Drosophila melanogaster: one gene and its partners. The protein of the gene in region 4 interacts with the protein of the main gene of each other region in a pairwise test. Each region holds a gene or a part of one and is shown on either strand. Other genes may lie near its edges. The genes, in order: Syx8, CG11367, CG18508 and Spase25.

Evidence for each region.
Region 1: the proteins of Spase25 (region 4) and Syx8 interact in a two-hybrid assay, tested with the Drosophila melanogaster proteins (one large-scale study listed by BioGRID).
Region 2: the proteins of Spase25 (region 4) and CG11367 interact in a two-hybrid assay, tested with the Drosophila melanogaster proteins (one large-scale study listed by BioGRID).
Region 3: the proteins of Spase25 (region 4) and CG18508 interact in a two-hybrid assay, tested with the Drosophila melanogaster proteins (one large-scale study listed by BioGRID).

What each region holds. Positions count from the first base shown.
Region 1 is NT_037436.4:16,585,608-16,588,793, forward strand, and holds Syx8 (syntaxin 8), read right to left. Parts: upstream 1,451-3,186; 5' UTR 1,372-1,450; coding exon 834-1,371; intron 781-833; coding exon 620-780; 3' UTR 501-619; downstream 1-500. Other genes in the region: UQCR-C2 (Ubiquinol-cytochrome c reductase core protein 2), read left to right, coding at 1-417; CG32163 (uncharacterized protein), read left to right, coding at 1,762-2,193.
Region 2 is NT_037436.4:22,725,483-22,735,043, reverse strand, and holds CG11367 (uncharacterized protein), read right to left. Parts: upstream 6,934-9,561; 5' UTR 6,634-6,933; coding exon 5,951-6,633; intron 5,279-5,950; exon of another isoform or gene 5,236-5,278; coding exon of another isoform or gene 3,631-5,235; exon of another isoform or gene 3,444-3,630; intron 3,032-3,443; exon of another isoform or gene 3,028-3,031; coding exon 2,904-3,027; exon of another isoform or gene 2,464-2,903; coding exon 2,302-2,463; exon of another isoform or gene 2,125-2,301; coding exon 2,005-2,124; 3' UTR 1,598-2,004; downstream 1-1,597. Other genes in the region: CG11241 (uncharacterized protein), read left to right, coding at 1-135, 1,456-1,590; CG32454 (uncharacterized protein), read right to left, coding at 3,631-5,235; CG14450 (uncharacterized protein), read left to right, coding at 7,328-7,512, 7,567-8,500; mael (maelstrom), read right to left, coding at 8,927-9,439, 9,502-9,561.
Region 3 is NC_004354.4:3,170,848-3,175,882, forward strand, and holds CG18508 (uncharacterized protein), read right to left. Parts: upstream 2,294-5,035; 5' UTR 2,198-2,293; intron 2,141-2,197; 5' UTR 2,133-2,140; coding exon 1,833-2,132; 3' UTR 1,421-1,832; downstream 1-1,420. Other genes in the region: N (notch), read left to right, coding at 1-134; Fcp3C (follicle cell protein 3C), read right to left, coding at 2,563-2,748, 2,821-3,431, 3,496-3,547; CG3939 (uncharacterized protein), read left to right, coding at 4,667-4,811.
Region 4 is NC_004354.4:11,482,133-11,487,802, forward strand, and holds Spase25 (spase 25-subunit), read left to right. Parts: upstream 1-3,117; 5' UTR 3,118-3,260; coding exon 3,261-3,299; intron 3,300-3,428; coding exon 3,429-3,989; 3' UTR 3,990-4,434; downstream 4,435-5,670. Other genes in the region: Cyp4g15 (cytochrome P450 4g15), read left to right, coding at 1-81, 178-469, 566-729; Uba5 (Ubiquitin-like activating enzyme 5), read left to right, coding at 1,522-1,802, 1,914-2,847; CG33235 (uncharacterized protein), read right to left, coding at 4,637-5,670. UniProt on the Drosophila melanogaster protein: Component of the signal peptidase complex (SPC) which catalyzes the cleavage of N-terminal signal sequences from nascent proteins as they are translocated into the lumen of the endoplasmic reticulum.

The DNA of each region.
Region 1 (3,186 bases), on a different chromosome or scaffold from region 4:
AACTGCGCCGGCGGCGTCGGAGCCTCTGTCAAGGCTGTGAATGCCAGCTACTCGGACGCTGGTCTGTTCGGTTTTGTGGTCTCCGCCGACTCCAAGGACATTGGCAAGACCGTGGAGTTCCTGGTGCGCGGCCTGAAGTCGGCTTCGGTGTCTGATAAGGATGTGGCCAGAGGCAAGGCTCTTCTGAAGGCGCGCATCATCTCGCGCTACTCGTCGGACGGTGGTCTAATTAAGGAGATCGGTCGCCAGGCGGCGCTCACCCGGAACGTGCTGGAGGCGGACGCCCTGCTTGGCGCAATCGATGGCATCTCGCAGTCGCAGGTCCAGGAGGCGGCCAAGAAGGTGGGCAGCTCCAAGCTGGCCGTCGGCGCCATCGGGCACCTGGCGAACGTGCCCTACGCCTCCGATTTGGCTTAAGTATATAAACACCTGTACATCTGTTAACCGTAATGTAACGACTAAATAAACCTGATCAAGGGGATCGATCCGCGAACGTAAATACTTATAAATCCTACTTTAATTGGTGTATACATAAATAATCAAACTTTGGGTTAACAGATAGACATTCCACGCAGGTCATAGTATAAAGTAGTATAACAACTGGAATGGATCGTGGGAGCTAGACGAAGACCACGACAATGATGGCGACGAACAAGGCTATGATGACGAGCCAGTAGCCCCAGGTACTGTCCCGCCGGTTAACCTGTCCAATGCTCTGTGTTTCCCGCTGCACACCCGTTTCCACACGGTCCATGGCATTGGCCAAGTTGTCAAGGATATCTACAAGGAGGTAGGGATTAGCATTGGTAGTGCAGGGACTGGGGAATACCCACTGTTCTGGTCCTCCACCTCGTTGCCCAGCTGTGTGGCCAGTTGGCGCTGTCTGGACAATGTGGCTGATAGAACCTCGAGTCCTTCGTTCTGCTGCGCCAGCATCTCGGTCTTTTTCTGCTTCAGAGCCTCCACATCCAAGGCGGTATTCCGCGAGGAATTGCTGTGACCTGGGCCGAGATCCTGATCCTGCCAAGCAGAACCGGATGCGGCCGGGACATTGGAGCGGCTACTGTTTGCGAACTTCTCGCGGATCTCGCGCAGCTGCGAAGTAAGTCTATCCCAGTCGATGCGCCGCTGTTGCAGCTCCTCCTCCGGGCTCGTCTCCCAGGTGATGGCGTTGTCCAGCACCACCTTGAGGTGCTTCATGTCCTTGGCCAGCTGCTCTATTCCCGTCTGAATGCTGCTTGTCAGTTGGACGAACTGGCTCGTCCTCGGATTGAGCTGCTGCCGCTGGTTGAGGTATACCAGCAGCTGATGCCGCAGTCGCTCGCAGCCCTCGTACTCGATGTCCCAGGAATCGTGATCCACCAGCGCCATTTCTCTGCTTTTGCTATGAGTAATTATCAAAAGCAGAAAACTACGCCTCCAGCAATCCAAGTAACAAAAACAAAAACAATAGCCGAGCAACAGCTGATGGCTGGTAGCAAAATAAGTAAGCGCGAGTACGGTCACATTGCCAGTAAGAAGGGATTCGGAAATAATCTTCAATGTTTGAACTGATTTAGATATTATACTTATGTAGCTGTAGATAAGCTGGAAAAATGCACCGCGATTAATCCCCAATCCTTTATCAATTCACCTCGCAGGTGCGTTGCTAGTGTGAACTATTTACTAAATAATTTAAGCTGGTCACTCGAAAATCGTCACTATGATGTGAAGTATGATTATTCGGCCCGAATTCCTGAAACTACTCACAAAAATTAAGAAATGCTTTCCAAATTGCTTCCAATTCTGATTCTGCAAGGTGGCCGAAGAACGTATTCCTTGTGCTCGAGAGATTACACCATCCCCACAAGTAACCACACCCTAACTGGTCAAATTTTAAAGGTTCCAAACCTAAATTCGCAGGAAAGATGTTTTGGTACGCACATTGTTGTCCGGCATAAGAGAGGTCGGTTCTACACCGACATTGGCGAGCTCCGGGCTGTATTGGTATACTCCATCAGGGACGGTGTGATGACCATCAACAGCACCAACGTCCCGGAGGAACTGGGCGGACATGGCATTGGGAAGCTACTGGCCAAGTCGGCACTGGACTACGCACTGTTGAATGGGCACTTCATTATTATAAGGTGTCGGTTTGTCCAGCACTACATCGACAAGTATGAGCCGCAATACGCCAAGTACATATTAAATTAGGGAACCGAAAACAAAACTTCAAAATTGTCGACACAATCAAACTGAACACAAATAAATCCCCCCACTATGCACATAGACACCATACATATAAACGTATATTTGCGTTCAGATTTGTTGAATTCCTTCGGTTTTTGAAAAATTACATGAAAATAATTTGAATTGGCTTATTTTTAAATTATTTCAAAATTTCTAAACCGAAAGGTAACAGATTATATTTAATGACGAAATTACGGTTTCTTATATAAGCTATTTTGTTATGCTTCTAAAAACAAATGTTTTATTACCTCTTTAAAATATGTAAACTAGTTTTCACAATATATTTTAAAAAATTGTTAATTTCCATATATACCACCTTGCATTGTGTGACCACCCTGAAATTAGCAAAGGGCGTTGCCAGACTCCGGCCACCCACGCACATACGATAGTTGGGACCGGCCCGGCGCGGTGGACAAAGTCACGGTATCGATATGGTGACACGATTCACCCACACATGCATGCATTGGGCTACGATGGCTGTGACACAAGGTGTGAAGAAATCACTGGGTTACAATGAGCGCTATTTATAAATATTTTGGAAGTATGCTGCAGGATTTCATAAAAGTAGTATGCAATTGGTATGCTTGATTCATATTGTTTAAAATTTGCTGTGCTACGTCAATTTTGTACTTGAAAAATATGGAGTCGTGACATGCCGCCAAAGCGGTGACTTGTCACGGTGAAATAATCGCGACTAGTAGCAGGTACGCAACTATCGCCCATCGCTAGCTCACACGTACACACAATTTATTTAGTCGTGATTTCTATTTTATTTGTTTCAAATTACAACCAAGAAGGAAACAAATCGCGACCAAAATCCGCTGGCCACAATGCCGAGTGCCTGTACAAGCGTGCGCGAGCATTCCCACTAATCGGAAGCGAGCGCATCCGCCGTTTTGAGCGTTTTCCGCGCGGGAGTGGGAAATCGAAAAGGCAAGGCAAGCCATCGGTCCGCTG
Region 2 (9,561 bases), on a different chromosome or scaffold from region 4:
GGCCTGATGATCGGCGTCGAGCTGGTGGGCAATCGTGAAAAGCGTACCCCTCTGGCTACGCCCCACGTCCTGGACATCTGGGAGAAGTGCAAGGACCAAGGAGTGCTCCTTGGACGCGGCGGTCTTCATGGAAACGTAAGTGAGCCTTCTTGAGGGATAAGTTCATCCTCATTTGGGCTCGTTTGTCTTCGTACTGCACGTCCGACTAACAAAAATTCGTGTTCGTTGAAGAGTCTCCACCGAGAACGACTCTTTGATCATCTTCTCCTGTTTCTACGTGTGCATCATTTCCCTTCCATTTCCACAGGTTCTGCGCATTAAGCCTCCCATGTGCATCACGCTGGCTGATGCCAAGTTCGCCGTGGATGTGCTGGCCCTGGCCATCACGGAGACTCTACCCGAGAATAACTAATGAAGATTGGAGAAGACGAGTACACATACACGGGAGAGCGTTTGTAGGATGGTCTCAGCTGCATTTATTAACTATCTAAGCTATCTAAGCAGATCTCTAAGTAGTTACTCCTAACAAAGACTTATGGACCTCTAAATCGTCAACTGTTCAATATTTAAAAGAATTGGTTTTTATACATTAAATTGTTGAAGATCCCACAAGACTAGTATATGTTACTGCGTTTCCCAAATGGGCGGGGCAAATCACCCCAGAAAATCCACAGTCTACTGCTAGCCAGATTACCTTGCATCTTTGCCATTACCATCTGTGGGAGTGAAGTAGTTCCATATTGATCCCTCAAACGCTCTTGTCAAACTTACACATAACTCACTCTTGGATTCTCTAAAACCTCGATTGCACACGTGTACACTTTTATGATTCAAGTTGATATTTGCACATGAAAAAAAAAAATAATCCTCAGCACTTCGATTCCAAATTGTAATTTACTTGGCAACCCTAAGCTCGGAATATGGCTATAATCTACGATCAGCATACGCACCATTCTAAATGTACTCACCCACTTATCTTAAAAATCGGTATAACCATTTATTTATATAGAAATCAGAAGACATTCCCAAGCTCTATCTTTTTGAAAATGCAAATTCTAGCATCTTGGACGGTTCGAAAAGGATAAATTATTGGTAGCAGGATATACATATAAAATTTTGACACAACATAAGCATTAAATACAAAATGACTGAAAGTATGCACTACATATATAGCACGTATTAAACGTGTAAAAATTGGGTACCAATGTAGATTTTCAAAAGTTTAAGCGCACGAACATTATTTGACAATTACCTTACAAGTTATTCCTAAAGCACAATCTTTTAGAACAACAATTGTTGTTTCAGTTTTAAATTTAGTACCTGGCCTTGACCAGTAAAAAGATCCCATGAAATGTAAAATTTCCAGATTACATTTTTTGATGCTACACTGTAGGACGGAGGGTCATTAATATAATAATAATTTTCGCATTATTTGAAGTTTCCTCTTCTCTTCAGGTGCTGAGCATGAGACCGCCACTGTGTCTTTGTGCCGAAGACGTGGAATTTGCCCTGGAGACACTGGAGGAAGCGTTTAAATTTCATATGAGCAAGAGCCCTCGCAGTTGGAGAAACAGCACAATGATGATGTAGAAAAGTTGTACTTTAGAGCTCATTTATTTGCTTATTCGCTTACAAACTAATAATTGAACAACATTATAGAGCAGCATTATGACCAACAATCGAGTCTTCGAGCTAGCGGTCTTTGAGCGAGGCTTTGACTTATTTATAAATGTACATCTCAGGAATTCTTAGAAGTAATGTGTGATGTGAAGCATGACACACCCTCATACAGTTTTAGGGAACGAGTGTGATTTGAATCCGTATCTGCTAAGGCTAGCTTAATGTTTGGTTTCAATGGCATTGCCTTGAGCATAAATAAATAAAACAACTCGAAAACCGCCTTAGTTTGAACTAGGTAATGCAAAAACGCAGTCTTCTGTTAAAGTCCAGGAGATTCTCTTTGGCTGGGGGTCCTGTAGGACTCCGTTCCCCAAGTGGCTCCTGTTAAACTTGTACGTCGGGATGCTTGCCCTCGTTATTGTAATCAGCGCTCAGCAACGTCTCAGACAGCTCCTTTCTGGCCTTCTGCAATACCCAGAACATCAAGGCCACGCCGCAAATTACCTTAAAGACACAAAAGACACATTGTGGATTAAATAACTTAAGATAAAACAAGATAATTAAACAAAGAGCTTGTGGACTTATTAAACAGCAATAATGAAGCAATTCAAATGTACAAACTCAAAAACTATTAGGCATATGATCTAAGAAGAGGTCAATTGCGATCCAAAGCGAACATACCTCAAACAGGAAGCTGATATACCCCGTCAGTTTGGTATCGTTATCACTGAGCACTTCATGCATGGACCTTAGCGTGGAACCCAAGTAAACATTGATGGTTTGGGCTGGCAGCAAACCAATCAGCGTGGCCACATGGTAGTCTCTTGTGTTGATGGAACTGATCTGTGAAAATAATAGTGTGATATAGAAACTAAATGGTTTAAGCGTGCCATGATTTAGCACCTAATTTTTAAGGAAAACTGGTTTTTGTTCAGTTTAACTGCATAGAAACTTGACGAATATGCACATATATTAGGTATACAACGTAACCGTCTCTGTATTATTCGTATAATTAGCTATTTAAATATTGCAGTATAAATAATTATTCATATAGATTCACAAAGCTTTGCAAAATTTTATTTACATGTCAGTGTGACGAATATTTGGTCCATTTTCAATTTGTTCCATTTAATTTTACGTTCGAATTCTTAAAGTTAATAAATAAAATTCTTGAAGTGACAAATTGGCAAACAATAAGAGAATATCTAGATATTTCGAACTCGCCCTTTTCTGAACAACAAGTTCAAGAATAACAATAGATCTGACAAAATCTAGTCACTTACTCCGAATATCACATTCTGCACTCCGAAGGGAATGGGGGTAAGTCGGGTAAAGAGAACGACTCGAAATGCCTTTGGGCCAGAAATGACGCGAAGAATGGCTCGTCCCGTATCATTCTTGATCAGCCTGCAAATAGATGCAATCGAACGGGTCTCATCACTTAATTTATTAAGTATACATATGTACATATATACATAATTACACCCAACTACTGACTCTAATTGAGTTTATCCAACAATCAGGAAATGATTATTGGGGCTATCAGCCAGTTCCACCGTTCGTCGATGAAACAGTTTACGCTCCCTCATAAAAATTGGTAGGCATTGATTTCATGCTATCACACAAATAACCTTTAATTAGGTGTGCCTATTTGGTAAATGTGATGTTAAATAAATGTGTTATTTTTAAAGAAAATTCATAAGCCTCTGTAATTGATTAATTATGTCCGCTGGGTATTGGAACCTAGTTTAGTAATTGTCGGAAATTAAAAGCTTGCTGCTATCAGGCGCGACAAATGTCTGATAAGGAGATCAAAACCGACTGAGCGTTAAAGGGGGATTTACCCAATGAGGCGGGTTTTAATTGCAAACGGGTTTAATGACAAATGAGCGTTTAGTACCTATATACAAAACATACAACACATTTATATGTACCGGCGATGTGGATACGCGATATCGATTTTGCGGAATAACTGCCCTTATCAGATATTCCTTGGGCAAATGTATTTGCTCAGTCGCCGTCACCGTGGCTTTGCAATTGTCGTGTGTCACAAGATCCACTTTGATCACCGTCATTCCGCAATCTATGCGATCTGGTTCGGCTTGCAGGTAGACAGACTTCTATGTCCTGGGGCTCGCTGGGGCAGGCGGCGGTAAGTAGATCCACGGAGTAATCATCCCGGACGTGCAGGGTGTCGCCAAGCTGACAAAGAATGCCCCGGAACTCGGGGTAGGCCTGGCAGCAGTCATCGGGAATAGAGATTGACAGCCGCAGCGACATCACGTTTCCGGGAGCGAAGGGATAGTCAAGGAGTCTGCGACTGGTGTCTCGCTTTCCCAGACCCACGTGCGAGACCACGACTGGGGAGCAGTTGTACTTGCGAGCCAACTCCACTGTCTCGGCTGCACTGCTGACACCCTTAGGCAACACGCGGAGCTCCCTTAGGTGCCGAGCCAGAAGGATTAAATAGGCGGCGTGCAGTTCCAGAGGTGTGCGGACGGCACCCTCACATCCTGCGTACTGTATCAACGAGCACAGATCCCGACGCATGTCCAACAGCGCACCATAAATCATTTTCTGGGGCGGCGTGAATCGCCCCGAGCTGGGCCAGCATCTGGCCAGTCCCCCCTCGTAGCCTCCGTACTGACATCCAGCGTCCATCTGCCACAGCCCATTGCCATCCAATCCGCACGAAGTTTTTGTCACGTCGGGACGAGCGTGGCGCAAACGGCACTTGTAGTCAAATGAAGCGGCCAGCTCCTGAGGAATCTGATGATGCTGTGCGATTACCTCCGCCATGGAGTCCGCAGCGGTGGCGTTAGCCCGACGCAGGGCTCTCAGCTCCCGCGAGGTCTTGACGGTGCGTGTGTACTGGAGGATGTATCGGGGATTGCCCATAGGAATCTTGGCTTCATTAGCCACCTCTTGCACTATACAACTGACAGGACTCGATGGGTCGTAGAAGTGCCATAGCTCGGGCGAGTGATCCCTTAACAGCCAGAGTAAACTTTTCTTAAGCATTGCGAGGGGCAGAACGTCGTCCACGTAGTGCATATGGCTAAAAATGGTGGACAGCTGGGAGTCCACATCCTGGGAAAGAAAGAGCAACGCGCCAGTATTTCGCTTTCGGCTGCGGGTGAGAACCAATGCTGCCCCTGGTCTCAAGCAGTCGCAAAGATAGAGGAAGTCAGGCCTCTGCCGAAAGGGGTAACTCCGAGCTGAGTCAGCTCCGGCCACCACAAGAACGTGCGAAAATATGCGGTTTTTCCTGTGCGGCTCTTTGAATGCGTCCTTCGCGTGCATATAAGAATTAAGGTCGTCCAGGGACATTTTTCGGTGCAGATCAATTTCATCCGGCAGGAGAACTCCGTCGGGCCGTGGATCGCTGCGCAGGTACTCGGACATTGTGGCGAACTGTCCGCCAGGGGCATCGCAGGAGAACTTCTCGATCAGGTCGGGCACTGAGAGCGGGCGGATCCTCTTGGTAAGCTCGGAGGGCCAGACCGTTGGCAGCACCAGAAGCACATCACTCCTATCCGGTGGGGCCACTACGGAACAACCGCGACGCACCTCTTGCCAGGCATAATACTTAAAATTTCGAAGAAACCGCAGCATTGGAGAATACAAAAAGCACACAGAGCAATGGGTAATATAAGGGCTAGATACAAGAAAGCGAGACTTATGGAAGATAGGGTTCCCTGATCGCAATAAATTTAAATATGTACTACTCGTAAAATGGGCATATGGACTCTGTAGCACTTGTCAATACAAAGATCAGTTTTCCGCTTAAAAGTATTAAAAATATTAACGTTTTGTGCGTGACCACTGTTTCTTGATTATTGGAGAGATGAATTTATTATTTAAAAACTGAAATATTTTTTAAGAAGTGTAGAACAGGTTACTGCGTTTGTGATCGCGGCAATGACTTAAAACCAAATTGCGCGGATTAGTTTGTTAAATCACAACAGACAAACGGACAAATGGAATCGGTTGGAGATCTTTATCAAGGATACATAGACACAATTAATTATTTTCAACGGAGTGTACCTACAAGAGCAAAGCGCATGACTTTAGAAGATAGTACACCTAATTTTCAACAGTTGGGGATTTGTATGCGTAGTATTTAACACTACTCAACGAACAGATAAATAAACTCTGTATTTTCAACGGAGCTTCGATTTTTAGCTTTTTAAATTTTACGCTTTATGCCGCTTATGACGTGTAAAAGTGCACAAATTAGTTTCTGGAATATCGAAGCAGTTTTAAACTAAAGACGCATAAATATATGATTTTAAGAAGTCGATGAAGTGTCACCAGACGCGCAACTCACCTTTGGACGGGAATGCGGTGCCGGCAGCTGCGAATGGTGGCATGGGCCACGGCTATGCCGATATTGGCGCCCAGGATCACGGTGACCCAACCGCGCAGGCAGCCGAACAGGTAACCGGCGGTGATGAGCAGAACGAAGTAGCCCACCACCACGGGGAAGCTGACAAGAGCGAAGAGCCCCATGTAGACGGCAAATGTTATCCAGGCGTTCTGCATTTCGATCCAAAAGAGCAATTGGCGAGCATAGTCCCGCGTCGCCCATCCGATGAAGACGAGGGCGCCTAGAATGGTGGCGGGCACTAAGCAGCCCAGGTACCAGTTGCGGGTGAGAAAGCTGTGGGCTCGTCCCCAACACGAGTTGCGCTTCCGGTTGTGTAGCACAGAGGTGGTGGCGGAGGAGCGGGTAGCTCTCCGACTGGCTAGAAACGGGTCACATTCGCTGTCCTCCGACGTGTCCGGTGTGCGCTGGGCGGCGAAGAGAGCTTCGGAGTTGCCGGCAGCCCCCACAATGCTGTCTGGTGGATCCACCTCCACGGCGTTGGAACAGCTGGCCTGGATCAGCTGAGGGAAGGCGGGTGCGGTGGAGGCGGGCACTGGCTTCTGCATGATGCAGTTGGTATCATTGTTGTTCGAATAGCCGTACGTGGTTTTGTTTTTATAGTTGTTGTTATTGTTGCATGACATGACCAGGATTTTCTTTTGGCCACAGCTCTGCCTTTCTCCGTTTTCTTTTCCACTTGTCGCTGTGAAATTTCACTTTTATGCACCCACATTCGCGCAAATACAGAGTTCTGAGTTTACGGTCGCATGTGTGTGCTTTGTGTCACATATGGCAAGGCAACCGAGTCCCAGAAACCGTTGTTGTTATTGTCTTAATTCAATTAAAATTACGAATTGTATTTATTGTTTATATATGTGCCACAGCCGCTCAACAATCGACGTACGACTGCCCACTCGACGTTGACGTTCCGACTGGAACTTCGAGTTCCCGCAGCGAGAGTGAAAGAGAATGTGAGAGGACAGAGAGCGTGCAGTGCTGCGATTTTAGCATTTTTCTTTAGCCATACTATACGGACTGCTCCAGTTTCTTCTTCTTTAAAAATTAATTAATAATGTGATTTATATTATATTTATAAATTATTTCCTTTGTAGTTTTACCTAAAATGTATAATGATTGCTGTGTGAAATACATGCCTTTTCTCTCATCTTTTTCACTTAACAATTAGTTGCTATAAATTGTTTGTAGCCGTCGATGGTGTAGCATTGTATATCGATTAATTAGAAAAACTGAAAAAATGAGCTTGGTCCCACTAACCGAACAGCTGTATAGACGATATCAAATTAAGTAACAACAAATATAAATCATATACTGGAAAATATGTTGTGCCGGCGATCATTGTTGGGCGTAACGACAAAATGCCTAAGACTTTCGTCCACGCAGCAACACAGATCGGGTCAGCCGGAATGTGACCAAGCCATCGGCCTCTTGCCCGCCTACTCGGATGCAGATCGTTTGAAGATCTTGAAGACGATTAATGAAAGCAGCATGAATCAGATAGCCAAGTAGGTAGCCACTCCTGCACTTTGCCTTGCACAAATACTGATTATCCCGCCCAGCTACGACATAACCAAGGCAAGGGCAACCAAGCTGCAAAACTGGAAGAACCGTCACGGACCGCTGCAGGAACTCAGCGACATCCTGTATGTGGAGGGATTCGGACTGAAGGTGACCACCAAGTTCTTTAAGAGTCTGCTTGCGCCGCCGAGCAGTGGGAGCGCACAAGTAGGGGAAAATAGACCAAAGACTGCACGAGTCGCGCCCTTTATAACACCGGCCATGGACGAGGGACAGCGTTCACGTATTGTATCTGCTGTAGGGGTGCGCATCGGAGTGACCAGTGTAAGCTGGGCGCGATTAAAGATCGGAAGCAACGAAGCTCCCTGTCTGCTCACGCACTGGCAGCACCATGAGCTGAACGACAAGAAGCTGCATTTGTCAGAACTTTCCCGCCGATGCCTCTATGTATCTCACCAGATACCCGTGGCCGATTGCTACGTCATGGAGAGTCCACAAATGGCCCAGGCCAGCAGCAACCCAGGGAGCATCGATCAACAGAACGTGAACATCCAGAAGGCCCAGGTTTCCGCAATCATGAGCTTCTCCTTGATGGCCCGATCAGATGGCGACGAGAACAAGACGAACAACGTCTACTACATGCGACGTTTTCTCTCAGCCCGACTATTTAATCACATGGTGGGTACTGAGCGCGTGTCGTCCGAGGATACGATATTGGCCATGATGCGAACCCATTACAACGTGGAACATCAGATCCCCGAAACAGAGCCCCCGTTGAAGCTGCACAAACAGATCGACTTTCCCGCTGACCTACGCCTCGAATTCTCACAACAAGAGCGCTACCAGCGCGAGCTTCTAGGCCAGGCACTTCTCCTCAGCTTAGCCTTTACTCGTCTCGTGCTTCAGCAAGATCCGCAAAGCATTGCATCTGTATCTCGCAACTCTAAAAACTCCTCTCCAAGTCGAGCCACTTAAAAAGCTACAAGTGTAAGAATATGAACTCGACTCTTTTTGGCCTTTGCACTTTGTATTATAATGACCCGTTGAACAATTTTATGCACAATATTTAACAGGGGTTTTAATAGGAGCAGTTTCTAATGGCACAACTGCATTTCCATGGAATACCATAAACATAGATTATTTTGAGCTTGGCCCCACTTAGCTAATTAGAATTTGTCGCCATCAAAAATATCATGTCTTTCTTTCATTACTGCCCACATATTAGGTCTTAAAAATATTTATTTAGCAGAACTAAAATAAATAAATACTTGATGCTGGCCCTGTCCGTTTGAACGAATTTATTTTTAAATACAAGTAATAGTATTTGTACAGTTTAATGCGATAAGAAAATTATCTATAAGGAATCATTGTTTCTTAGTCCAATTGATAGACCAAAGTGGCTTATTTTTTAAGTTTCCCATCAGCGCCGTTTACGGAGAAGTCGTTGTCTGAAACCTTCCGAATTAAACGCGAGTGCGTCGGTAAGTTCCTAGCGTTCCATTCCCGCTGAGCACTAGCGGCGATACCGTGATGCTTACTAGAATTACGCATGCCGAGGCTGGGGAATTCAGAAACTTCGTTTAAATTTGCGGCAAAGGAAGTGTGGTCTATGGGCTTGTAGGAGCTTGATGCGACGGAAAGTCGACTGCTAGAAAGCGAACAAGCTTCGGGTTGGCTTTCCTTCTTGACCCCAGATCCGGGAAGCGAATAAAAAGAGTCGAAGGAGGACTCGTGGTCGAGTGAGGAGGCGTACGAGCTTATGATAAGGTAGTTGGGTTTTGTTTGGGCAGGTATGTGCTTTCCGGGTTGGACGGTTATGGCCAGGTCTCCGCACATAAAATCAGTGAAGGTATACGCCCATCTAGTCACCATACTCTGGGTACAGTACTTGGTTCGATCATTATCCTCGTGGTACTGCAAAAGTAATCAGGAAGGAAGTCAACTAGGGGTTATCAGAATTGGGAACAGAATCTTACCTGACACGCAATCCCTGCGGTAAACTCGAAAAAGTCTTTCTTAAAAAAAGCATCCGTCGC
Region 3 (5,035 bases), 8.3 Mb from region 4:
CTGGCCACTGGTCCTCCTCGTCGCCGCGATCGAATTCCGATTGGAGCGAGGGCGTTCAGTCGCCGGCGGCAAATAATCTTTACATATCCGGTGGCCATCAGGCTAACAAGGGTTCCGAGGCCATCTACATTTGACCGTGATCTGGATGATTTGGTATGTTGAATATCGCGCAAGGATAATTGGATGGCTTGCCAAGGATAACAGCAAAAGGGGACTCTTAAAGAGTCCGCGGCTAAGTTCGATCTAAAATATGCTATATATTGTAATTCTCTAATCTCTACGGATTATGTATTTTTTCCAACGACTCTTTTTTTTTTTTTTTGAGTGTGTCTATAAGTTTTAGATGTTAGTGCGAAATACGCAATTCTAGCGGAAGAAGCGTCATAAATTGTAGTAACTTAAATTTTATTTAATGCTTGTTGTACAGTGCGCGCCGATCGCATATATATATATATATATAGATATTGATATAGATATATGTATATCTACTCATAGATATACCAGTTAAGAGCTCGTCTTGTGGCGCATTTTATTTTATTGTCGTAACGTCATCGTAGCTTCCAGTAAAAAAAAAAACAAAAAACAAAAGAATCAACATAAAAAGATGAGCAACTAAACTTAGCGCAAATTCTGATTGGATCGATTAAACGTTTGTGGGACAATTTGTAGTTGTAAGTGACCATTATATCACTAGGCCATAAGACTACGCTAAGTTTTTTTTATCGAATTCTACATTATTAATTATGGCCCCACATGCTATATATAAATACATAAATTTCGTAGTTCTGTAGGTTTTGAAACTGAAGTGCTTATATAAACAAAATTGTTAGACCGTACACCGCATCGAACCTTTTTTTTTACACCAAGTTTTTTTTTTTTATTATTATTATTATTATTATGACTATTATGTATTATTACATATTGACTAAGCTAAACTGTAAAAAGATTCTCATAACTGTTTGATTTAAGTTGACACATACAAAATACAAAAGGATTTGCAAAAAAAATTACACAAAAATCACCAATGGAAACGTATAAGTCTAATTGAAAGAAAGAAAGAAAAGAAGAAAAAAAAGGAAAAAACCACGAAAAAGACAGTAACCAGCCAAGTTTACTATATATATAAGGACACTCGACGATCTACGATCTAAGTTGATGAAAAGATATTTTCAAAAAATATGCAACAGAAAGAAAAAAAACGCACACACTTAGAGAAAACTGCAAAATACGAATTTTCTCGTTCGATTTGCATTAATTTTAATTTGAACGGTATTGCTTTCTTTCGTCTATATTTTGTGTGTAAGTTTTTAATGTGTAAATTGTAAAATTATTTGTTTTCCTAACTTAAACAGCCAGACAGCAAAACGAAACTGCAAACTTTTTGACATAAATAATAAATATTAAATAATTATTTTAAAAGCCGTGTGTTTATTTCATTAATTATATACATATACAACATATAAAGGCGAATTTTTCAGCTCTGCGTTGTTGCAGCTGGAACAAAGTTTAAATACCATATTTCATATTGGAACTGCGTGGAGTTAACCTTTAACCTTTAACTCTTGACACACACACACACAAACCCGCAGGAAAAGAGCAGTTTTTTCGCGTGTCAAAGTGTACATTTAATTGCAAGTTAATTATACTTTAGACGTTCTTGCCGCTCTTCAAGGGCCACGCCCCCTCCCCCTCCTTTACCAAACGATCGCCGCCCACCACGTTGGATTTGTGTCCTTGTGTTGTGTGCGTTGTGTTTTCCGCTCTTATGTCAAAACATAACAAAAAAAAAAAAATGTACTATGTGTTAAATTACAATATTTGGAACATTTCGACTAGATCTCCTTCTTGGACTCGTCCACTTCCGTTTCCGCTGCCATTGCTGTTGCATTCAATGGCGGATTTTCAGATTCCTCGGCATCGTCATCACTGACGTTCTCCGTCTTCTTGCCGCCCGGAACGAAGGGGCAAACGCCGCCCTTGCACTCGAATGGGAAGTCGGGTCCCTTTTTGATCACATTGCCATCGTCGTCCTTCTTCTCCCAGGGATTCCAGTAGCGCAACAGGATCGGCTGCACAAATTTGTGCCAAATGTACAGAAGCAGTGGAATGATAATACAGGGCACGCAAACCATTGTTCGGGCTTTAAAAATGGTTAGTTATTGGCGTTGCAAGTGATTACAACAATTGCGGAACGTACCTATTTAATGTTAGCTTACTGGCTCCGGAAAAAAAGTATTTCTCGCTTTGATTTCCTTAATTCAACTATTTATTTATTGTCAAAAATGTCAGTGTAGCCAGTTCACTTGTGTTTGGTATTGAGCCTAAAAACGCCACGCATATACTGTTATCTTAAAAAAAAAAAATACGTACTCTCTAGCAAAGAACGCAACCGGTTGGACTAATATAGTCCGGACTCGAACCAAACCGTTTGAAATCTATTAACCCTTATGTGCACACCTTAGCTTTTTTTTTGCTTTTTTTTTTAGATTTTTTAACACCATGCGCATTTACAATACAGTTGAAATTTTGTCATATCATATATTTATTTCATTTGCACAGTGCTTAACCCATCAATGGGCAACGGTAGGGAACGCCAGAGCGACAACAGTACTCCCTGCCCGCCTGCAGATTGGTATTAACCCATTGATTGTGACAGTTCTTGATGAACAAATAGGCCCGTTCCTTGTGACAATCGTGACCCAGTGCGGAGCATACTATATTTGCGGAATTCGGCAGATGTTGTACGATCTAAAATGGACGAAATGGTGAGTTATAGAGCGCTTCTCCTCATCTTTTCCTCCTCGTTTCCCCAGTACTCACCGTCTCTAGGCATTTGGTTTGACACTGCTTGCGACCGATGGCATTGCAGGGAAACATATGATCCAATTCCTGGTGGATAAGTGGCTTTGTCGGCAAGCCATTTGGGATTTGCGAGGAGAGGAAGACGCCGCATGTGCACGGCACTGGCTGATTATCCTGCACAGGCAGTCCCGCTGTCGGTGGCAAGGGAATGGTGCTAACCAGACTGCTGCTGCTCGATGGGTTTGTGCTCATCAGCGGACTCGCGGTGGTTGGCTCCATCGATCGTGTGGATCCTTCCGACGATCCGATGATGGGTGCCTCGCCAACGGTCGTTTCGGTGGTGCCATTGTTACCAATGGTTTCCGTGCTGGCTTCCAATTCGCTTGCGGGCGTTGTCATAATCACAAACTCAACGGCCGTGGGCCAATCCTCTTCGGCTGTTGTGCTGCTACTTGCAACACCAGTGCTGCTCATGGTGCTGGTTTCCAGTTTGACGGGCTTCGTCTTTATACGCTTGTCCTTGATGATGTTGCTATTGCCATAGAGCGGCTTCTTGTAGACTATCTTGGATGCCTCCAAATGGATGGCTAGCAGAAGTGTCAGCAGCAGCAGGGAATTTTTAAAGGCGCCTGATATATGAAATATATACGATATGAAATGTGTTCTTTAGCTAATATTACTTTCAAAGCTTACCCATCTTGGTATCTACGGAAACACTGAATACTTCTGCCTTTGCGCCATCCATTTTATATAAGCCATTTTCTTACTTGGCTTGCAGTTTTTCAAGATTTCGGTCTTCCATTTTAGTCGGCCCCCAACGAAGTTCAAGTTGTGAGAACCGGCAAAATTGTGTCAGGGTTAAGTCTGATTAAGCAGAATTTTCACACAAAGCGAGTGGAATTCATTCATTTGGAGGAAAGTGAGAAGAAAGAAAAAGAATTACTTCCGAAAATTATGCGTAATCAATAAACCCAAAAGTTGTGTCTTGAGCTGCACAAAGTTTACCTTACCGTTCTAAACTACTTTCCAAAATCTTTTTAAATATCCCGCCAAACTGCAATGAAACTGTTATGATTATAATAACATAATGGATAACATAAATAAACGGCCGATTAAACAGCAATTATTATCCAAATTATACAAGTTATAATATGGTAATATTAACAAACATTTCAACATAAGCAAAGCTTTGGTTTTTAATCTAATTATAGATTTAATTTAATTTTCATTTTTTGGTTTGTTTTTCGTTAAGTTAGTATTTTTTGCGCTGTTTATGGAACTTAACAGAAATACCAATCAATATTGGGCGGCCAACATTTGAAATATAAATACAGATTATCGATATGTATCTTGAACGAAGTTTTAAATGTTTGTTATTTGTTAAACTCAACAATCCTATAGATTTATGCCATAAAAATGTCAAAATTATCGTTGCTTCAAATGATTTAAGTACAAAATTCGAGTTTCGATAAACGGTTAACAGTGCCGTACTCACCACGGTGCGCCCAACAGCACGCACACACAGCCGGCTGTGGTGGGTTCGCTGGACAGGCAGTGTGGTGAATATACTAGTTGCTGGAGCTTGCCGCAAAAAAAAAAAAAAAGAAAACAAAACAGATCGAAAAACACAGCAAACAACAAAATTATACGCCATTAATTACCCGATAAACTTACCGATGGCCGATAAGCAACGGCTAAGTGATCCGTAACACCCAGCGATAAGATCCAGATAAGATTGGAATTAAATTTTGGGTTTGCCATCCGCATCGAAATCGCCGCAATCGGAATTTACTTGTACACCAGCCAACTCGCCGTTCAAGACGTCCAAGTTTTTTTTAATCCAGAAATCCCATACACTGCCAAAATGCCCGAATATGTGCCGGCACGGGGCTTCAAGGAGATGGAAAATCTGATCAAGCTGTACGAGAACCAGCGCAGCCCCATCTACATCTACTTCTACGGCGAGAAAGACAAGGACGGACGCAGCTGGTGTCCGGACTGCGTGGCGGGTAGGTGACGAATTCTCCTCGCCCAGCGGGGCGTTACTAGTCCAGTTGGGCACTCTACATTCTGCTTATCACGCTTCTCATTTGTGGGTTTCAGTTAGTTACTTTCTACCCAGCTAACTTGAGTTACTTTTGATTTGATTTTCGCTCTCCATTGAGAGTTCCATCTACATTGTACATTGTCCTCATCATTTCGATTCATTTCATCGCAGAGTTATAACATAACA
Region 4 (5,670 bases):
ATCCACCAGGACATCCAGGATCGCGTACTGGCCGAACTCGACTCCATTTTTGGCGACTCCCAGCGACCGGCCACATTTCAGGTGGGTAACTAATGCCGCACACATCACCATAGTTAGTTAGTTATATTCTTGAATGTTGAACGTTAACCGCTTAAAATGTCCGCATTCCGATTGCAGGACACACTGGAGATGAAGTATCTGGAGCGGTGTCTGATGGAGACGCTGCGCATGTACCCACCCGTTCCATTGATCGCCCGCGAGCTGCAGGAGGATCTCAAGCTGAACTCGGGCAACTACGTGATTCCCAGGGGCGCCACGGTGACGGTGGCCACCGTCCTGCTCCATCGCAATCCGAAGGTCTACGCCAATCCCAACGTCTTCGATCCGGACAACTTCCTGCCGGAGCGCCAGGCCAATCGCCACTACTACGCCTTTGTGCCGTTCTCTGCGGGACCACGCAGCTGTGTGGGTGAGTTGCAGATATAACACTGAAGCAAATTATGTGAATATTCGGATCGTCTATATGAATAATGTTTTGTTTCATTTATTATAATTATTTTTTTAGGGCGCAAGTATGCGATGCTCAAGCTGAAGATCCTACTGTCGACCATTTTGCGGAACTACCGTGTCTACTCGGACCTGACCGAATCGGACTTCAAACTGCAGGCGGACATCATCCTAAAGCGTGAGGAGGGATTCCGCGTGCGCCTCCAGCCGCGGACCAGTTGAACCCCGGTGGCCGCGACGAACATCAGCTAGGCGAACCAGGTGGACCAGGTGGAGCGGGTGGGGCAGGCGGAACAGGCGGGCAGCACACCATACACCGTACACCGCAAACAATAAGCTACACAGAACGGACACTTATCCATACATATAACTCCACTTGTTGGCAAGTGATAGTCACCGGTTTATACAGTAATATTGATAATATTAAATAATAATAAACGTGCTCCCACACTCGATTTATTGAATAGTATAATGATTATTTTTTTGACGCATTTAACACAAAAAGCAACCACAACTATCGTCATCTTCCTTTAATTGTTCTACTCCTCTTTTTTTTTTTTGGTTATTTAATAATTATAATACCTATTTGTGTGTAATGATTTTGACAATAAATCTTTTGTGTAATTATACAAATGGATTTTAGTGGGAAATTTAAATGTTTTCATACAGCAAATGGAGTTGACAGCCATTTGGTTGCTGTTATTACTCGTCTTCTATTTTATGCGTCTTAAAATTCAAATATGCGCGCCATTCGTAGCATTAACCAACACTGTACCAGCTGGCAATGTAAATTGGTATATTTTTGGTATATAACTATCGACCCTCGGCCATCACTAACATGCAGCGTTGCCCCATCCCATCTAACGCAAGTACCAAACTAATTTGGCCATCTGGCAGCACTGGTCAAAAGTGACACGGCGACAACCAGCTTAAAAGCGAAAGTTAACAATTAACAATTGCTGGCGTCCATAGCCAAACACACGAGCCAGAAACTGGAGCCACCCCAAAGCCAGAATGTCGCACGCCATCGACGAACTGCAGGCGATCATCGCCGATCTGAAGACGGAGCTGGAGACGGAGCCGAAATCCAGTGGCGGCGTCGCTAGCAACAGCCGCCTGGCACGCGATCGCATCGATCGCATGTCCGCCGAGGTGGTGGACTCCAATCCGTACAGCCGCCTGATGGCCCTGCAGCGGATGAACATCGTCAAGGACTACGAGCGCATTCGCTACAAGGCGGTGGCCATTGTGGGCGTGGGCGGCGTGGGAAGCGTCACCGCCGACATGCTTACACGGTGCGTGCACAACAAGAAGAGAAGGGCAACAGTCATTGTGCACCACAGCTAGCACTCCAAATATGTTGTCTTTAATTAAAGGCTATGTATTAATCAATTGATTTCCTGCAGCTGCGGCATTGGCAAACTGATACTCTTCGACTACGACAAAGTGGAGCTGGCCAACATGAACAGACTGTTCTTTACGCCCGATCAGGCGGGCCTCTCCAAAGTTGCGGCCGCCGCCGCTACCCTGAGCTTTATCAATCCGGACGTGGAGATTGAGACGCACAACTACAATATTACAACGGTGGAGAACTTTGATCGCTTCCTGGACACAATATCGCAGGGCGGACGGATAGCTGGCCAGCCGGTGGATCTGGTGCTCAGCTGTGTGGACAATTTTGAGGCACGAATGGCAATCAATGCAGCGTGCAATGAACGCAATCTCAACTGGTTTGAGTCGGGAGTTTCGGAAAATGCCGTCTCGGGGCACATTCAGTTTATCCGTCCTGGCGATACCGCCTGTTTCGCTTGTGCACCACCCTTGGTGGTGGCCGAGAACATCGACGAGAAGACGCTGAAGAGAGAGGGCGTGTGCGCCGCTTCATTGCCCACAACTATGGGCATTACGGCTGGCTTCCTTGTCCAGAACGCATTAAAGTATCTGCTGAATTTCGGCGAGGTCTCTGACTATCTGGGCTACAATGCCCTTAGCGACTTCTTTCCCAAGATGACGCTCAAACCGAATCCGCAGTGCGATGACAGAAACTGTTTAGTTCGGCAAAAAGAGTTCCAAGCCAGGCCCAAACCTGTGCTGATCGAAGAGAAGGCAGTCAGCGAAGAGCCGCTGCATGCCACCAACGAATGGGGCATCGAACTGGTCGCCGAGGATGCGCCAGAAAGTAATACAACGCCCGCCGAAACCCCAGTGATGGGTGAAGGGCTGAGGCTCGCCTACGAGGCTCCTGAGAAGTCCAGCGAAACGTCAGAGGAAACTGTATCTGCAGCTACCGCGGACGAAACCAGTCTGGAAGACCTGATGGCGCAAATGAAGTCCATGTAAATTGATTCCGTACTCCGTATTTATAGACACTTTTTGTAAAACACACACTTTTTTTTTGATAAACTCAGCTTCGATTTGTGTAAAACTTGGGCCGAGCCATTTTTTATTTATTTATATATAGTAACTTTTAGTCACTTGATTAAATGCTTTATGCTCAAAATTATTTGAATTACGCGGGAAATTTCAATTCTTGCAGTTTCTAGTATTTCAGTATTTTAAGCTTCCCCTATCTGGCAGCACGGTCAACTAGTCCGTTATCGATTGGCAGCGATAACGATTGACAATTTTGTTGTCGCGTTGTCACACAAAAACGAAGAAAACTCCTGAAAAAAGAAAAAAGAGTTTTTCTGAGCATTTCGCAAACTTCTCTTGGAAATCAAGGGCATCAAAACACAATAGAGAGCAGATAGAAGATGGGCAAGAAGGATGAAAAGTCACAGCAAGGCGAGGAGGTGAGTAAACCGGTTGCCGGCTTGGCATTTGGTCCATTAAGATGTGTTCCACGTCATTGTAGAATGTAAATGTAAACTAAGTGAATATGTGCATAAACTAACTCCATCCTGTTTCATGTGCCCTGCCAGCTGGTGAAGGTCAACAAGTGGGATGGATCCGCAGTGAAGCACGCCCTCGATGATGCAGTGAAAACCTGCCTCCTTGGCGATCGTCCCCAGCTGAAGGAGCAATTCGGCCTGGTCAACACCCGTTTGGCCCTCTGCGCCCTCGCCGTTTCCGTGGCTATAATGGCCCATGCTTGGGACTTCACCCACCCCTTCCCGGAATCCCGTCCAGTGCTCCTCTTCAGTGTTTTGGCCTACTTTGCACTCCTCGGCATTCTGACCCTGCACTCCAGTTTCCGCGAGAAGGGCACCTTTGCGGTGGCCCTGCAGAAGGACAAGGAGCGGGAGCGCCTGTGGGAGGCCAGCTCCGATATGCGCAAGTACGACGACAAGTACCTGCTGACCCTCAGTGTTCGCGACACGAAAAATGGCAAGCGGCGCGAGCAGAGCAGCAACAAGTCGTGCGCCGCCTTCATCGATCAGAATGGCATCGTCCTGGACAACCTGGTGGCCAACGAGGTCAACCGTCTGTTCAACGCCTTAGCTGCCGACAAGAAGAACGCTAGCAGCCTTTCTTCTAATTAAACCAAATTCCCCACTTTTGTCTCATTAAATTGTACACTTTTGTGGTAAGCCGACTGTTTGTCTTTTGTAATAAGCGGAAAAACTATAATATAAAATGAATTCTTTGATTTACAGCTTAACATAAATTGTCTGAATCTGATAGAAACTTAACCAATGATTTGTGGACTATTTTATTATAATTTCATGGGTTCAGCTGCAAAAATCTAAAAGTTAAGAGGGCGGGGATTCCGGTGGCGGCAGAGGAAGAGGAGAGGGTGCCCAAACTGGAACTGGCGGCGATGGGGAAACCCATATTGCGCTGATAAGGCCATTGATATTAATTCCATATTTAACCTGGCTGCCTTCCCAGAAGTTAAACATCAAAATTGGGAGTTGTCGATGTCAAAACGTTTATATATATATATCAATGTTTTTATATTCCAAAAGCTCATATTTGTGACATACTAAAGATTTTGGCTACAAGAGAGTAATGTACGTAATGTAAAGTCTATATGTACGACTAACTCATGTGTTTTTAAAAGATTATTCTATTTGTTATTATATTTATTCACAATGTGGAGATGTCCCAATCCAAGTGTACCCAGAAATCCGAGTGTTTTTGACCTTCTTCCTGCGGCGCTCCGGCTTCCTTTGTCATCATCATCTTTTTATTTTTTCAGATATCTGTATGGGGCACTACGGTTCCTTTTCCCATTTCCCATTACCATCTTCTCTTTAATTTCTACATATTTCTTATGTCTTTCCAAAGCCTCAATTTCTGACATCTTCTGGGCCATTTTCTTTTTCATAATCATCTGCTTTTCTAACACCTTTGCTGCCATTGTATCCTTGGCCGTCTTTAGAGCCTCCAATTTTCCCTTAGCAATCTTTAGTGTCTTCCCGCATTGCCGGTCCTTCGACTTCTTTTTTTGCACTTTCCCCTTGGCCATCTTCGGCTTTTGCAAGTTTAGCTTTTCCTCTTTCTTATTTTTCTCAAGGACTTGCTTTGATGTCTTTCGCCATTCATCAATTTTCTCCTTTTCCATTTCCTTCCTTTCCATCTCCTCTACCATGTCCAGCTGCTCCTGCGTCTCCAGCAGCTCCTTCACCACTTTGCTCTCATCTTCCTGTGGCGACACTTCGGCTAGGGTAGGGTTAGCCACCTCTGCTTTGGTTTTCTTTTTCTCTAAAAACTTACGAGCCCATTCCTTTCCTCCATAAGGATAGTCATTATCCTTTTTATCTGCCAGAACAGGAGCCCATGGCTTCGGCGTGGTAGGACCGACAGCCTCGGTGTGGGCACGTTTTGATGGAGAGACCATGTCATTCATCAATGTTAACTTTCTTTTTGAGCTTGGAATCTTTATCTCATCTTTGCAGAGATTGGCATCACCGCTGGTATCACTGCTGTCCGAGCCTAGAATTATTAATTCATCTTTGTTGCTATTGACAACTAAGCGCTGGGCACCGAATCTGTTGCCTTGATTACGCTGGCTTAGCAAATTGTCCACATCCACTTCCTCCAGGACGCTCTTATTATTGGAGTTACGATTCACTGGCTCCGGCAAGGAGGCCCCGATATGAGATTTCTTTTCCTCTCCGGGTGGAATAATGTCCTTCGTCAAAGTGAAATTCCTTTTCGAGCTTGGAATCATTTTCTCATCTTTGCTACCTTGATTACGCTGGCCTTGCAAATCCAGGA